2 linked regions of the Alligator mississippiensis genome follow. The protein of the gene in region 2 binds, or shares a complex with, the protein of the main gene of each other region. Links are inferred from orthologs where the notes say so. Each region holds a gene or a part of one and is shown on either strand. Other genes may lie near its edges.

What was found. Proteins that work in one complex are often made in the same cells at the same time.
Region 1: the proteins of NOG (region 2) and BMP7 are in contact, whole or in part, in a crystal structure (PDB 1M4U), measured with the Homo sapiens proteins. The link is inferred for Alligator mississippiensis from reciprocal best matches to the Homo sapiens genes NOG and BMP7. Residues at the interface, in NP_005441.1 of Homo sapiens: His29, Tyr30, Leu31, His32, Ile33, Arg34, Pro35, Ala36; in NP_001710.1 of Homo sapiens: Phe365, Pro366, Leu367, Asn368, Ser369, Asn375, Ile378, Val379.

What each region holds. Positions count from the first base shown.
Region 1 is NC_081832.1:9,428,552-9,435,549, reverse strand, and holds the start of BMP7 (bone morphogenetic protein 7), read right to left. Parts: upstream 3,043-6,998; 5' UTR 2,737-3,042; coding exon 2,319-2,736; intron 1-2,318. UniProt on the Homo sapiens protein: Growth factor of the TGF-beta superfamily that plays important role in various biological processes, including embryogenesis, hematopoiesis, neurogenesis and skeletal morphogenesis.
Region 2 is NC_081831.1:7,825,032-7,832,470, forward strand, and holds NOG (noggin), read right to left. Parts: upstream 3,098-7,439; 5' UTR 2,586-3,097; coding exon 1,914-2,585; 3' UTR 46-1,913; downstream 1-45. UniProt on the Homo sapiens protein: Inhibitor of bone morphogenetic proteins (BMP) signaling which is required for growth and patterning of the neural tube and somite. Essential for cartilage morphogenesis and joint formation.

The DNA of each region.
Region 1 (6,998 bases), on a different chromosome or scaffold from region 2:
AAATAATAATGAAATACTTTGGCAAGAACATTTTCATACTCTTTAAACTGATTACAAAAGCCGACATTTTTATGCAGTTCATAATTTTAATGTTATACTGTAACCTGTGTAATTTACATATAATAATCTTTATTGATATGTTCTTTTAGATTCATGGGATAGATGCATCCAAGAAAACAAATCTCAATTACAAATGTATTGACTAATTTCACTATGATTACACTGAGCTAACATGTTTGTGCAAAATAAGTTACTTTAGAGGCTAAACCATAATGTCTTTTACATAAAACTCCAGGGGCCTTCAAAGATGGCTTTTCCCCACATTATTGAGCTTGGAACTGGGTCCCCAGAGCTGCATTTATGAGATCTACCTCGAAACTAACTTCACAAAAACCAAAGGATATAATTGTTCACCTGGAGGTAAATCTCACTATCTGGAGTTGACTCTATTAAATATTCAGCCCTTTCAAAAAAAGAATCTACTTTTACAGTAGAAAATAAAAGTGCCAACTTTGTTTATTTCCTTTGTTTTCTGTATGTCCCCGCACTCTGGCCATACATTATATGTACACTGAGGTACAGCACAGCACAATATTAACACCATTTCTCTTATCTCTAAAGTCAAATATTTGCCCACCAGTGGTACTCCTGGCTGCACAAATATTGATTTTAAAATGTATCAATGCTAATTGGCTTACATACTGAAAAACTATTAGACAAGCATTATACTTCCAAATGGACTATATTAGCAGTCTGAAAAGACTACAGCCTTTGGGCCAATTGTAGAGTCCTACCAGTGAGGCTTATGGTATTTAATATGGAGATGCAATTCCACTGAAACTTGAGATCTCAGCATGCAGTGCTCCATCTCCAAGTATCACTTCAGGATTGGACTGAGGTTGGCTACTGTATATGATCACAGCTATTCACATATGTGTGTGTCATAAAGCCTATACAGCTACTGATACTTCTGCTTTAGCCCATAGTGCTAGGGGAAGGACAACTATTGCACAATGCCTGTTGCCACCATGAAGCTCCAAGTGATAACCAGGAAGTTCTAGGTGATGGCAGATTTATTACAGGATTTAAGATGAGGGCATCTGCCATCTGTACCATTTCATGCATCTCAGGTGCATCCTTCTCACTCCTTGCAAACGGCTCCTCATTTAGGCAAAGTTTGAGTCAACCCTGCTCTGGAATTATCATTCAGATTTTGACTTGAATTTGCAGGCACCCAATCTGTACATCTGGTGGTTTCAGAGCCGCACGTGATGAGGGCTAAAACTAGATACAGTGAACTGGGACCTATAATTATATATTTAAAATAGAATGCTTGTCCTGACAGCATTTTACTCAAATCCGGCTGAGTAAGTCCCAAAGGGTGTGCAATCTATAGCCAACGAATAGAGATCAGGAGGATATCAGCAAACTGCGGCATCCAATTAAAGCAGCTCAGTGAGCTGCATACAAAGCGTGGCAACTTTCATGTCATTTGCATAAACCCATCCACATGTGTGTGTGAAAGGAAGCACGTTAGCTTGCCTCAACTGGGGTCACTAGAAAGAGCTGCAGGAGTAAATAAGGATTTACCCTGGAATCCTTCTCAAGCCATTAAGAAAACAGACTCCAGCAGCCTGGCCCTCTCAATCTAGTTAAGGCTGCCTTGGCCACTCCACTAGGGTCTGTCCACTTAAGCGGCTCTGGTGGCATTGTGATCATCCACATGATTCCAAGCTCAGGGCTTTGAACTGTGTTGCAATCCAGGGTCTTTTGTTGGCTTCACGTCTTTCTTGGTGGTGCAAGAAGCCAGACAGAGCCACTAACAGGTCCTGTACAGGTCCACTCCCTCGTGGATTCTGCAAGGTAACTCATTCCGTGTGGAGGAGCAAGAGGGAAGAAGAAGGAGGGAGCATGGCAGCAGGCCAGATGAGATCTGATGGGGCACAGTAAAAGTCCTACTCATAGGACATAGGTTCTGAGTGAGCCCTTTCCAGCTGATTTCCAAACCTCCTGACACTTAAATTCACACTGCAACAAAGGCTGGATCTAGAGCCACTTACTTCCCCTGCCCTGCCCAAAGCCACCTGCCAGCAGGGCCATATGCGCCCCTTGTTGCTACCTGCCCCACCACAGCCTATTCTCTCCTGTCCCCACCAGAGGCTGTGGTGCCATTGGGTCCATCTCTTTGCTTTTGCCAGCAGAGAAACCAGCTTCCTTCCACCCCATCCCACTCCAGACACTTGCCCCAAACTCAGATCCTTTGCCCCAGGCTGTCCCAGACCTGTGCAGGCTGCCCCGGGCTGGGCTCGGACACTCACCCAGGTTCACGAAGCTCATGACCATGTCTGCCTCGGTGAGGAAGTTGCTGTCCTGCAGGCTGGCCAGGGGGGGGCCCTGGGTGCTGAAGATGGGCTTGTAAGGGTAGGAGAAGCCCTCTCCCTCCTCCCCCGCCGCCCCGGCCGCCTCCTCCACCGACATGGCATTGTAGAGATCCAGCATGAACATGGGGGCTGAGTTCTGCTTGCCGTGCAGATGGGGCCGGGGCCGGTGCGGCAAGCCCAGGATGGAGAGGATCTCCCGCTGCATCTCCCGGCGCTCCTGGCTCCGCAGCCGCCGGTGGATGAAGCTGGAGTGCACCTCATTGTCCAAGGTGAAGTCCGCCAGGATGCAGCGCAGCCACAAGCACGAGAGGACCAGCAGCCGGGAGGCAGGCTGCCCGGGCCACGCGGCGCGCATCTCTCCTGCACGGAGGGGAGATGAAGAGACCCACGGGGCTGCTGAGCAGGAATAAATACTTTACCATGAAAGACAGCTGGAGAGGGGGAAAGTGCCTGCCCCGCAAAGCTCTGATCACTTGGCTAGAGGGCAGCCCTGCAGCTCAGGCTTCAGCAAACTCATGATAAAAGTTTGCCTCTGGGGGGGGGAGGTGGTTTAGTTTGTAAAATCCATGAGATAAATAGCAAGGATCACTCCTGAGTGGTGCTTTCCACTCCCTTTCCCCTCTTTCTTTAGGGTCTGATTTCTTTCTCTCTCTCTCTCTCTCTCCCTCTTCACTTCTCACAAGTGTTTGAAATGCTGCTTTACAGACAGGCAGCAGGAGGTTGTATCTGGTGGGAGGAGCAGGCAGCACAACTCAACACCCTCCCTCGCTTGCTCTCTGCTCGCTCTCTCTCTCCAAACTGCTTAGAGAAGAAAATCCGTGTTACTGCCTAGAGGAGGAACATCTGATCAGGTTGCTTTTCAGGATGTTTATGGAGGCTTCTGGCTTAGAAGAAAGGGTGAGCCATTCCCAAGTAGTTAAATTAATGTAAACATGATTAAGGGGAAGGCAGTGCTGGGGGAGGGCTGTTTAGTGGAGGGGAGGGGGGGTATGCATATATAAAACAAAATAAACTAAGCAGTGCAGTGGGGCAGAGCCTGCCCAGAAGGCAAAAGACCAATACAGGCATGCATTTAAAATGTAATGATACCAGTAGGAAAGGTAGCCCAAGGTCGCTTGTACCCACAGGCGGTCGGGGGGGATGTGAGTGGAGAAGTGTTAAAGAAGGCCAGGAGGTTATGGGTTAATAGGTGAAAGTTTAAAACAATACAGGATACCAGTGACATGGCCCCGGACCCATCAGCTTGTGCGCACAGCTAGTGTTTGTCACAGTCTGTCTCCCTCTCATCTCCTCCCCTCTCTTTTCCTTCCATTGTTAGCTACACTCACTTGTTGCATCTTGTCCAGGATGGGGTTATCAGCCCTTTGGAGCAGGGGCTGTCTCTTACTAAGTGTCCCTACAATGTCTGGAAGAATAGAGCCCAATCCTGGCTGAGCCCTGCCAGCTCTACCATAACACAAAGGAGAAATAAATGACAGCATTCAGCAGTAATCTCTTGAGAGGAGAGGACCGGAAATAATTCAGACTATATGTTGATTTTTTGATTCAGCCCTGGCGGGAAGAGTGAAAGGAGAGGAGGGAAAAGAGGTTGTTTCCACTGCCTTGACATGCTCGTAGTCTTTGATGCTTCCTGATGAGCCTTGCCATGCCCAGAAGTCTGAACACCTGGTCCCACCTGCCTTCTGCACCCAGAAATGAATAGTTATTCATTTTTATTTATTTATTCAGTTTATACAATGCCAATTTATATGCTGCCCTTCCCAATAAAGGCTCAGGCTGGCTACAATAAAAGAACACTCCGCATTTATACAGACCAGTGTATCCTAAAAGTGTTGTGCAAACAGTGAGTAGCTTGTTATAAGAGCTGGGTGAAGGAGGCACTCTTTGCTTTTTAACAGAGGAGAAAGTGAGAGACAGAACTGGAGTGGTCCATTTTTAGACCACATTGAGAAAGGGGGAGAGTCCGTTAGGAGCCTAGCTGCCAGGCCCTTCCTCATTCTTCTGCTGCTTTTCAAAGGGGTGGCAAGAATCTTTTATAGCTCTAGAGAAGCACTGCCAGCCTGCCTGGGGGGCAGGAGAAGGACTGGAGGTGACAGGTGGTTTGCCCCGTCATCTCTTGCTGGCTCCCAATACAAACAGAAGCCATGATTTAAGGCTTCAGGTGTGTGTGTTGGAAGAGCCTTGTTCAATTCCCAGCTCTGCCACCAATCCCTTATGTGACATTAGCCTATCATTTAGCCTTTCTCTGCTTCCCATCTCTGTCCTAAAATGGGAATACTAGTATTTCCCTGGCTCATAGACTGGTAAGGCTACCTATATTTAAGTATTGTGAGTCACCCAGGTACTATGGTGATGCTATCCATAGAAGTGTCTAAGATAGTGGTAATACAGATATACCACCATGATATCCAGAAGGGGCCTTCTAGAGTCCCTTCACATGAATTAGCTGTGATTGCAACTGCATACAATAATAAAATACCAGCTTATTTTGTGTATCATCATTTGTACAAACCCTGGATTTGTTCCTAAGTGGTAATGCCAAAACATTTCTAAGAATTGCGGCCTTCGTGTTTGAAAACATATAACTGGCATGGATTTCAACACAAAAGGGTGTTTTGTTTCCTTGGTGCATTTGACAGTGATTGGGCCTAGTCTCTCCCCTCTGTCCGTTCCTCCTGCTGTTGCCTTATGTGCAGGCCTTTCACCCAACAAACCAGGGAGAAAAACATATTGAAATTAAAATACTATACAATAGATGAAGATTATAGAAATGGACAAGGAGCCTTAAGAGCAGGTATATTTCTAGAAACCATATATAGGGCAATTTTCAAGTTAACAACATCCCCTTAAAAAGCACTGCTTGTTTGGGGGAAAGGGAAGATACTCAGTTCTTCTGAACTGGAAGATTTGGGCTCTGGAAAAATCTTCAGGTAGCTGATTTCTGGGATTGATTGTGTCATTTTTTATGGGAGACAAATTTTGAGACTTCTTGGTTTGGCAGGTTCTTCTGGTTCTAGTTATGATTCTTCATTCCCTACTTAACTTCCCCCTAGCTTCAGTTGGTTAAGTTGCCTTGTGGGGGTTAAGATCAAGCAGTGTATTGTGTATCAGCTTAATAATTGTCCTTTCCCCAGGTGTAGTGAGTGACAGGGCCGTCTCTCACACTTGCATGGAAATGGATCCAATCTTTTAATAATCTTTTTCATTGCTATTTTGTATGGCTTTATTCTTTACTTCCTGGCCTAAACTGTGGACCAACATACCTGGTTTGACAGGCTCAGAATCAAGTAGAGAGAGGATATTGTGGGATCTGGCATAAGCAATAAACTTTTTATGAAAGGGGATTATTATAAGTATCAGAGAACCAAACTTTTTCTTTGAAGCTGCTGCAGGTAATTTCTCCACATGCTGTTCTACAAAAATGTCTGGCTTGTGATTGTTGAGACAGACTGCTAAATACAATCTGCTGAAATAGATACATGACAGATATGCCTAAGAGTGAGTTTGCCACTGTTATATACCAGGTGCCAGAGGCATTCTTTGTGAGTGAGGGTTGAGAACAGCAAAAAACCACTCTTGAAAAACCACTCATAGAGCAGTAGTTTTCAACCTTTTTTCATTTTCAGATCCCTAAAAAAATTTTAATGGCAGTGCGGTATGGTAAGTGTGGGTATTCACACATTTCTGATTGATCATAGTCATCTTTCCTGGACCCCTTAGATGTAGTCTGCAGACCCCCAGGGGTCCGCAGAACACAGGTTGAAAACCACTGTCTTAGAGAATTGATTTCTCAATTACATGTTGACTTCAGTGAGGCTGTTGGGTGCAACCAAGAGTATGTCCCAGTATGTCCCACTGTGTGCAATATAGCATGATGGAGTGAGATGGGGTCAACATTTAGCTGCGAACATGGATTTTACACATACATGCTGCAATTAGAGGATATTGTCTATGCCATAATTTCTGATTCTAATGTTTCTTCCATCATATTTTGCATACTGCTTGACCTCATTTATTGGTGCTCTCAGGGTCAGCTCCCAAGTACTGTAGACAAATTGCTGAAAATATTGGCAACCCCATGTCATCACCCTCTTTCTCTTCTCTCCCAGGTCAATTAAGAAACCAGTTTTTCCTCTTAACTGCCATCCGCTGCTCCTCCTCCTCCTCCTCCTCCTGCTCCCTGTCAGAGAAGGAGAGTTGAGTGCTGATGATGAAGCAATACCTGGATGTTGGCTGTGGCTGTTTCAGATGATTTCTTTAAAAAAATAACTGAGTGCTTCTATTTTCATCTTTTGGGTATCTTAGTATTTTGCATGTGTATGATTTGTATATTAGCTATTATTTGTGTTTATGTAGAAATACATGCACTGTTGCTGGATGGAAGTGACTAGTTTAGAAATAAAGGGCCCACTTCTAAAACAAATAAAGTACACACAATTTGTGTGCAATTGCATGTGCCTAATTTGTATGCATTGTTGTCATGGTCATGCATCCAAATTGCCAGATGCATACCAGTGGCTCATTCAGGTCATCAGTATGCAAGATTAACCTAAATGAAGTAAATGTATGTTCAGGTTACACAAATGGTTTCATGCTTAACTTAAAGATTGGACCCAA
Region 2 (7,439 bases):
GGAGGGGGAAGCAAACAGGAAACAAAACAGGATGAACTGTGGAAATGCATCTTTTTGCCTTTCTTGGATATAACACCCCCAAGAGTTTATTAATAATAGGGAGCTATTAATAAGAAGGAATATATACTATATGCTATATCTGTTCACTGATTGCAGGAATACAGTCAGGTTAAAAATAACATGCATGTAGCACACACAGGTAGAGTCATTTTAACCTTTAACCAAGAGTCAGAAGCAGTGTCTGCATGAAGTCCCAGCAGTAACTGCAGCAATTACAGACCTCTGCATGACTGGGTGAGAAGAGAAGGTAGCTAGTGGGAATAGTCCTTCAGTGAGGTTTGCTAACAGGGGAAAGGACGTCTTATTGTAATCCAGTGACATGTTCAACCTTCGGGGAACTTTTGTTGACATTCCCAAGTCCCTGGCTGCCATCCCAGCATGAAATAGTTTCTGTTCACATAATTCTCGTGTTTACCCGTCATGAAAAACTCTTGCTTTTGGCTTTTTTTTTTTTTTTGCAAGTGAAACGGTGTCTAAAAAAATATTGGCCCCGGGCGCAGAAGGTTTTGCATAAATTCATCTGTGATGAATGGCTGATTTCAATGTTATTTGGGTATTTGTCAGAACCTAACAAATAGACATGGGGCCGGTGGTTCAGAAAACTTTAAAACATCTCAATATCCCCTTTCTTCTAGAAATAAATTACGTGTGTTTGCCCTGCCCCGGAGTCCGAAGGTAGCCGACATTGGGAATATTTTAAATGTGATCATCCATTCAGCATGTCTTTCAGGCGCCACGAAGATTAAATGCAAGAATCATAAGATGAAGGTCTTTAACTTTTAATCCTTTTACAATGAACCCTCAGATAGTGTCGGGGGCAGGGCGCCTCCGAGGTGAGTAATAATGCCGCTGTTCCTCTTCGCGAGGTTAATGAATACCCCAAATGTCCCCAGATCTCTGGGGCTTGCTTTTTTGGGGGGGGATGAGAAGCAGCGCGGCGGCGGAGGCGCTGGGCAGGGCGGGAGCCGGGACAGGAGCAGGCACCCAGTGCCTGGGAAGGGGAAACTTGAAGAAGGGGCTTTTGATTGCAAGGTCAATCAGGCCCCGGCTGCAGCACGTGGAGGCGGCTCGGGGGCAGGGGCAGGGAGCACGTGCGCGCCTCCTGCCGCCTCCCAGCCCGGGCACGGCGGAGCCCCGAGGGGCAGCCCACCCGCGACGGCGCCGGGCCGGTGCGAGACACGCGTGGCCCGTGGAGGTGACATGTCCAGCGGCGACACGCGCCGGGCGGGGAGCAAACAACCCAGCCACAAAGCACACACAAGCAGCCCAGCTCGGATTATTTTAGTGGTCGATTTTTAATCCCGCGCTGCCCTTGGACTACGGGGGTATAGCAAGAATAAATAGACACTCTTCCTTGCCAGCCATCAAAGCCTTCATCCTCTTCTCTGTGTATGTGTGTGTGTGTGTGTGTCCTCTTCTGTGTGTGTGTGTGTTTAAACTCTGAAGTCCATCAGAAACAACCCCCCCCACCTCCCCCGCGCGCGCACACGTGCAGCGGCACATCGCTTCAAAAACTTCTCTTCTCAGCCTGGGCTTTTCCTTTATCAAAAAAATCCCTCCCCCCTCTCCAAACACCTTTTATTAAATTAAAAATAATAATGATAATAATTAAAAAAAAAAAAGTCATCCGTCTGGGGAGCATGAAGACCCGGGAGAAAGAGAGCCCCGAGCCAGGACCCGGAGCTCACAAATATACAGCGGACGCTGAGGACTTGCCGGGATAATACTGACCTTTTTTAATAGTCAACGAGAAGGCTGCCATATATACACACACACACACACATATACATTCTCCTACACGGTACAGTGCATGACAACGCGGGGCAGAAAGCGGGCCGGGTCCACACGTGTCCCTAGCAGGAGCACTTGCACTCCGAGATGATGGGGTACTGGATGGGGATCCAGGCGCAGCGCTGCCCGCCCCGCCGCTGGCACCGCCAGCGCAGGATGGTCAAATGCACGGACTTGGCCGGCTTGCACAGCATGCCCTCGGGCACGGAGCACGACCGCTTGCTGTAGCAGCTGCCCACCTTGACGAAGCGGGGCCAGAAGCGGCTGCCCAGGTCGTTCCAGGTGTAGAGCACGGGGCAGAAGGTCTGCGACCAGAGCCACAGCTGCAGCTTCCTGCGCAGCTTCTTGCTCAGCCGGTGCTTCTTGCCCGGCTGCAGCCCGTCGGCAAACTCCAGCCCTTTGATGTCGCTGGGCATCGCCCCCGAGGGTCTCTGCCGGAGCAGCAAGTCCAGCTCGGCCAGGTCGTCCCCCCCGAGCCGCTCCTCGGGCACGGCGGTGGCCATGAAGTTGGCGTCGAAGTGCCCGCCCAGGAGGCTCCTGAGCAAGGTCTCGTTAAGATCCTTCTCCTTGGGGTCAAAGATAGGGTCCGGGTGCTCGATGAGGTCCACCAGGGGCAGGTTGTCGCTGGGCGCCGGGCGGATGTGCAGGTAGTGCTGGCAGGCGCCCTGCCCCATGCGGAGCCCCAGCAGCACCGCCAAGGCGTAGATGGTGGCCAGGCACTGGTTGTGCTCCATCCTCGGGGGCAGCCAACTGCATCCGCCACCGCGGCCGGGGGGGGGAGAGCCGAGCCGCCCGTCCCGACGGGGCGCCCCCGGCCCCCCAACAAGGCTCCCCCCCCGCCCCGCGCTCGCAGCCTCTCCTCCGGCGCTGCCCGCGAGCGGGCTCCGTCCCGCGCCTGCTGCAGCACGAGGCGGCGGCAGCTGGAGGGGTGTGTGTGTAGGGGGGGGTCTTTTGGGGGGAGGAGGGGGGTTTCTTCTTCTTCTTCTTCCCCCCCCCCACCTCCACCACCACCCCAGCGCTTTCCTTTTTTGCAAATGCTTCCCGGCCGGGCTCCTCTCGCAGGCTCCTCTCCGCCGCTCTGCACGGCGGCCGCGCACGTTGGCACCAGTTTGTCTGCTTTGCAAGGATCCAAAGCCTTTAAATTTCCTGCACTTTCAGCTCCATCACCATGGAAACCACCGACTCTCTGCTCACCCCCCCTTCCATGCAAAAAAAAAAAAAACCCAAAAAACCACACACACGCACATGCACACACACGCACATGCACACGCACGCACCCGCCCCGCCACCCCCGCAGCCCGCGGGGGATGCGCGTCTCTCCGGGAGGCCCCCCGGGTGCAGCGCCGCCACCCCCAGGCAGGGCTGGCTGCAGCTGGGCAAGGCGGAGGGCTCCCCCCCCCTTCTGCCCCCCCACATTTATTTATGGACTTATTGATCGGCTTCCCCAGTTCAGCGCTACCTGGCTGCTGGGGGCCCGTGATGCAATTGCTACTGAGCGCTGCTGCTGGCCGGGAGCCCGGCGGGGACCGGGCTGCACCGCCTCCCCCGCCGGCCCGGCTCCTGCCATGCACCGGGCGGAGCGAGCCCTCTGCTGGCTGCGGGGGAAGCCGCTGCCTTCTGCGCACCCGGGCACAGCTCTGCTCCCGCTCCTGCCCTGGCCCTGGCCCTGGCCCTGCTCCGCTCCCCGTGTGCACGCACAGACCCGGGGCAGGACGTGGTGCGCTGGGTTGCTCCTCTAACTGCATCCCAAGGACACAGCCACTCCGAGAAGTAACCACACCAACAACAACTAATAACAACAGCAACAATGAATAGTAATAAAAGGACATCCTAACAGCTGTTCAGGAGGCGGTGGAAGTTAAAAACAAACCCTAAATGTTTGTTTCCTACCTTCCCTTCTTTTTTCAACTGGCAAACCTTGAAACAATGTGGAAGACATAGCTGCCCCCCCCCCCCTCCCTCCACCCCCACTCTGGAGGACAGACTGGTTTTTGTAAACACATAAATAGGAAAAGAAAGTCTGGGAGAGAGGAGTCCTCTTGAATGTACTGGTGGATGGAGCCAAGGAAAAATCCTCTTGAAGTCTTCAGAGCTGATGAGGGGGTGAAGACTTTGTCTATAGCCTTTTTTTAAATGACAAGCTGCTATCAAGTTCTATAGAGGGGGTTATGATGCTTTATTAAATTCTCTGTGGTTATTAAGAAAAAGCTGATGGAAAGGTTAAGATTTCCTATTAAATGCCATAGGACTTTTCTATAAGGGGAGCAAAGGAAGGTTATAGGTATGGTCAACACAGAAAACAGGGAGCAAGCCAGGGGCAATGTGCTATGCAGGGATAGTAACATTACCAAGTGACCCTGAATGCTATTTCACCACTGCAGAATAATTATTCACCAAGGAGCACCAGAGAAATCTGGCCCTTGCAGCGATATTATAAAGATGAACGGCAGTGCCCGCTATTAAGATGTGGTGCAAGACCTCCAGAAGTGCCCAAGTCCTGTTCTCAGAAGTTTAGTTCTTGGAGCCTGCCTCTCATGGGACTCTTTAAGTACCCAAGTCACTTATGAAATTGAGATTTAGGCTCATAAATCACATGCACACTTTTCAAAACGTTACATTTAGACTCTTCCAAGGGCATGCTCTATACATGGGACAACAATCCATATTTTTGTCAAATGTCTTGTTTTCGTGTCCAGTTATCTTTTATTTCATAAATTTAGGCTTGACCCCACACTGAGGATGTCCCCTTCATTCTTTCATTCCTCCTTCATCTCTTTTAAGATAGGCACCTTCCAGTAAAGAACTTGGGGCCCTGCTTAAATCACAAGGGACTATTCATGTGATTTAATGTTAACTGTGTGCTAAAGTGGCGTTGCTGGATCAGGGCTCTACAACAGGGCCTCTTACTTTCGCTTATGTGCTGACTACAGGCAGAATGCTCTACAACCAATATAGATACAACTGAGAATAAAGAGAAGGCAAAACAATCTGGATCTACATGGCAGACAGGGTTCAGTTACACCTGCCGCCACCATTAGTAGTAACAGTCAGTCAGAATTTTATTAGATGGTTTCCCAGCATCTCCCCCCACCAACCCCTAGAAAATAACATTGCTCCTGACTGAAGGTTGGCATGCAGGATCTCAGCTTTCAGCAGTGGTTCGCACACAACGGTTAGCTCCCACTTGAGCTGTGCTGATCATTTATAGGAAAACCTAAAGTGAAACACCAGGGGTATGAACATGACAAGAAGCCAAGACATAAAATGTTGCTGTATCGTATTTGAAGGGAAAGTGCCAAGATTCATACAGTTCAAGCTACTGCACATAGACACAGCTACTTCTAGAATCAGTCTTGTAAAGAGATCAGGCCAGATCCCCAGCTGGCATAAACTGGCATTCAATTTTGCTATTCATAGCAGTTGAGAATCTGGCACTTCAGATCTTAACTACTGGTACTATTGCTGCCCTGTTAGCAGTTAGACTCGTGGACACGTCCAACAAGTTCTCGTGCCAAAGCTGCTCTGAGCAGGATGGGGTTTGTTGCTTCCCTCAAGGTCTGCATATATCTGACCTTTTTCTGCCTAAATTGCAGGAAACATGGGGGTACTGTGGTGTCCTGACTTGGCCCTACTGAATCTGCATGCCAAATGATAGATGAATAGCTGAATGGTGAGTATAGAGTTATTTTCTCCAGTGAGAAAGTGCTTTATGCAATTAGCTTACTTCCGATGGTGGCCCAAGATCAAGCATATCGTTTTTTTATGCAACAGTAATATAGATACAGCAACAGTAGACAGCCAGACCCAGCTCAACCATGTTTGTTTCATTTTAGTTTTTTGCATTGTCCCCCCTCTGATTTTAGCAAGCACAGTATGCTGCAGGTAACTCATAAAGCTACACAGTGAAGAGACTGGATGAAGGATGTCTTGCATTCAAAAGCTTGTCTAACTTTATCCCACCTGCATCGTTAGTCCAGTAAAAGATCCCACCCTAAGAGATCCTTGCCTCTAGTAGGTAAACTCACATAAATATGAGTGCACAGGCACAGATGTTAAGTCATCCCATGCCTCCCATGGCTAAGTAACGAGTGCATTTTTAATGCATTATTTTTTATTACACAGTTCCCATAAACAGAGTTGTGCCCGTGATCCGTCCGCATGTATGCTTGTGCCACCATTCCCGAGTATACATATGCCTGCCCTGTCACACACTCATAGATAAGCCATTTCATGACTCCTGCACACTTTGCGAGTATGTCATACATTTGCATTTCTTTGCAAAGGATTTCTGAGAAGCTGGCTTGAATATTGACTTGGACCCTTCTCCCAATGAAATCAAGGGCAAATCTTATTGCAAGTGTAAGATGAGTCCTTTTCGTTACAGACATCCTAGCTTCAGTCCAGGAAAATGTACTGAGGCAAAAGTACTTTAGAACAGAGAATGGAGATAGTACAAATGATTGAAATAAACTGGGAACAAGGTGAAACCTGTTTTTCTGATCACACACTTCTTCCCTTGCAGTAACTTAAGTGTTAAAATCAACTCAGTTCAGGAGTAAAAAAAAACAACCAACAAAACACAAATACTTTTCTCCTAACCACTCATGCTGCACACTTCCCTTCTGAAAGGGAAGCAGCTATGGCCTGTCCCTGCTTCATGCCCACTGGTATAATTAAGATTTTTGAATCAGAAGGTGGGTAGATCCAGCACCTGCAGACTCTCAAACTTGACCCCTGTGAGTACAGTTACACGTAGGATGGGACTGTAACTGGGCATATCTGCCTCTTAGGGCTGAGGGGCCAAGAGCGCAGCCCTGTTCAGAACAGATTGGGGCCTGGTAGTTTGCAAGGGATCAGGTGATTTCCTGATGAGCACCTGATTCCTGTAAAGCCTGAAAGAGCTCAGCTGAAGAAGGGGAAAGCTAGAGGAAATAGGCTGGTTCCTGCAGCAGGAGGACTCCCCAGTGGATGGCTTATTGGAGGGACCGGGAAGAGTTACCAGGAGCACCGAGCCTCTGGCTGGAAGCCCCTGGGGCAGGGAAAAGCAAGCTGCTGGATTTATGTTGAGCTGTTCTAGTCTGGGGTTTGCTGGAAACGGCTTGTGCCATCAATAACTGGTGCCCCGAGGAAAACTGTGTTCAGACTGTGTGTGGTGTCAGCCCCAGAGATGGGGAAACAGGCTAGCAGGCTCCAGGGATCTGTGCTGGCTGGTCTGTTGGCAGTGATGTGCAAGACGGAGGAGAATGCAACTCTCTCCACCACAGCTTTATTGGCTCTGGAGTGTTGACGGTAGTAAAAATGTGTTTTTTCAGTAAACAAAGCAAATACAACTTGCAAGACACATGGGGAGCCAATGTGTTCAGTGTTAAGGTGCCATTTCTACACCGTCACAGTTCCGATTGCCAGGGTGCACGCTTGTAACGCGCTGCTCTGGAGACGAGTCCGGAGGGGCTGTGCCTGTATCTTAATAAAGGACCCAATCCATCAAGTCCACTCCAATCTCACGTGCCCTTCCGAGTCATATCTTGCCACTGATTTGGCAACACACGTGGGAGCCAGTGCAACATCCACTGCCTGACTTCAATGGC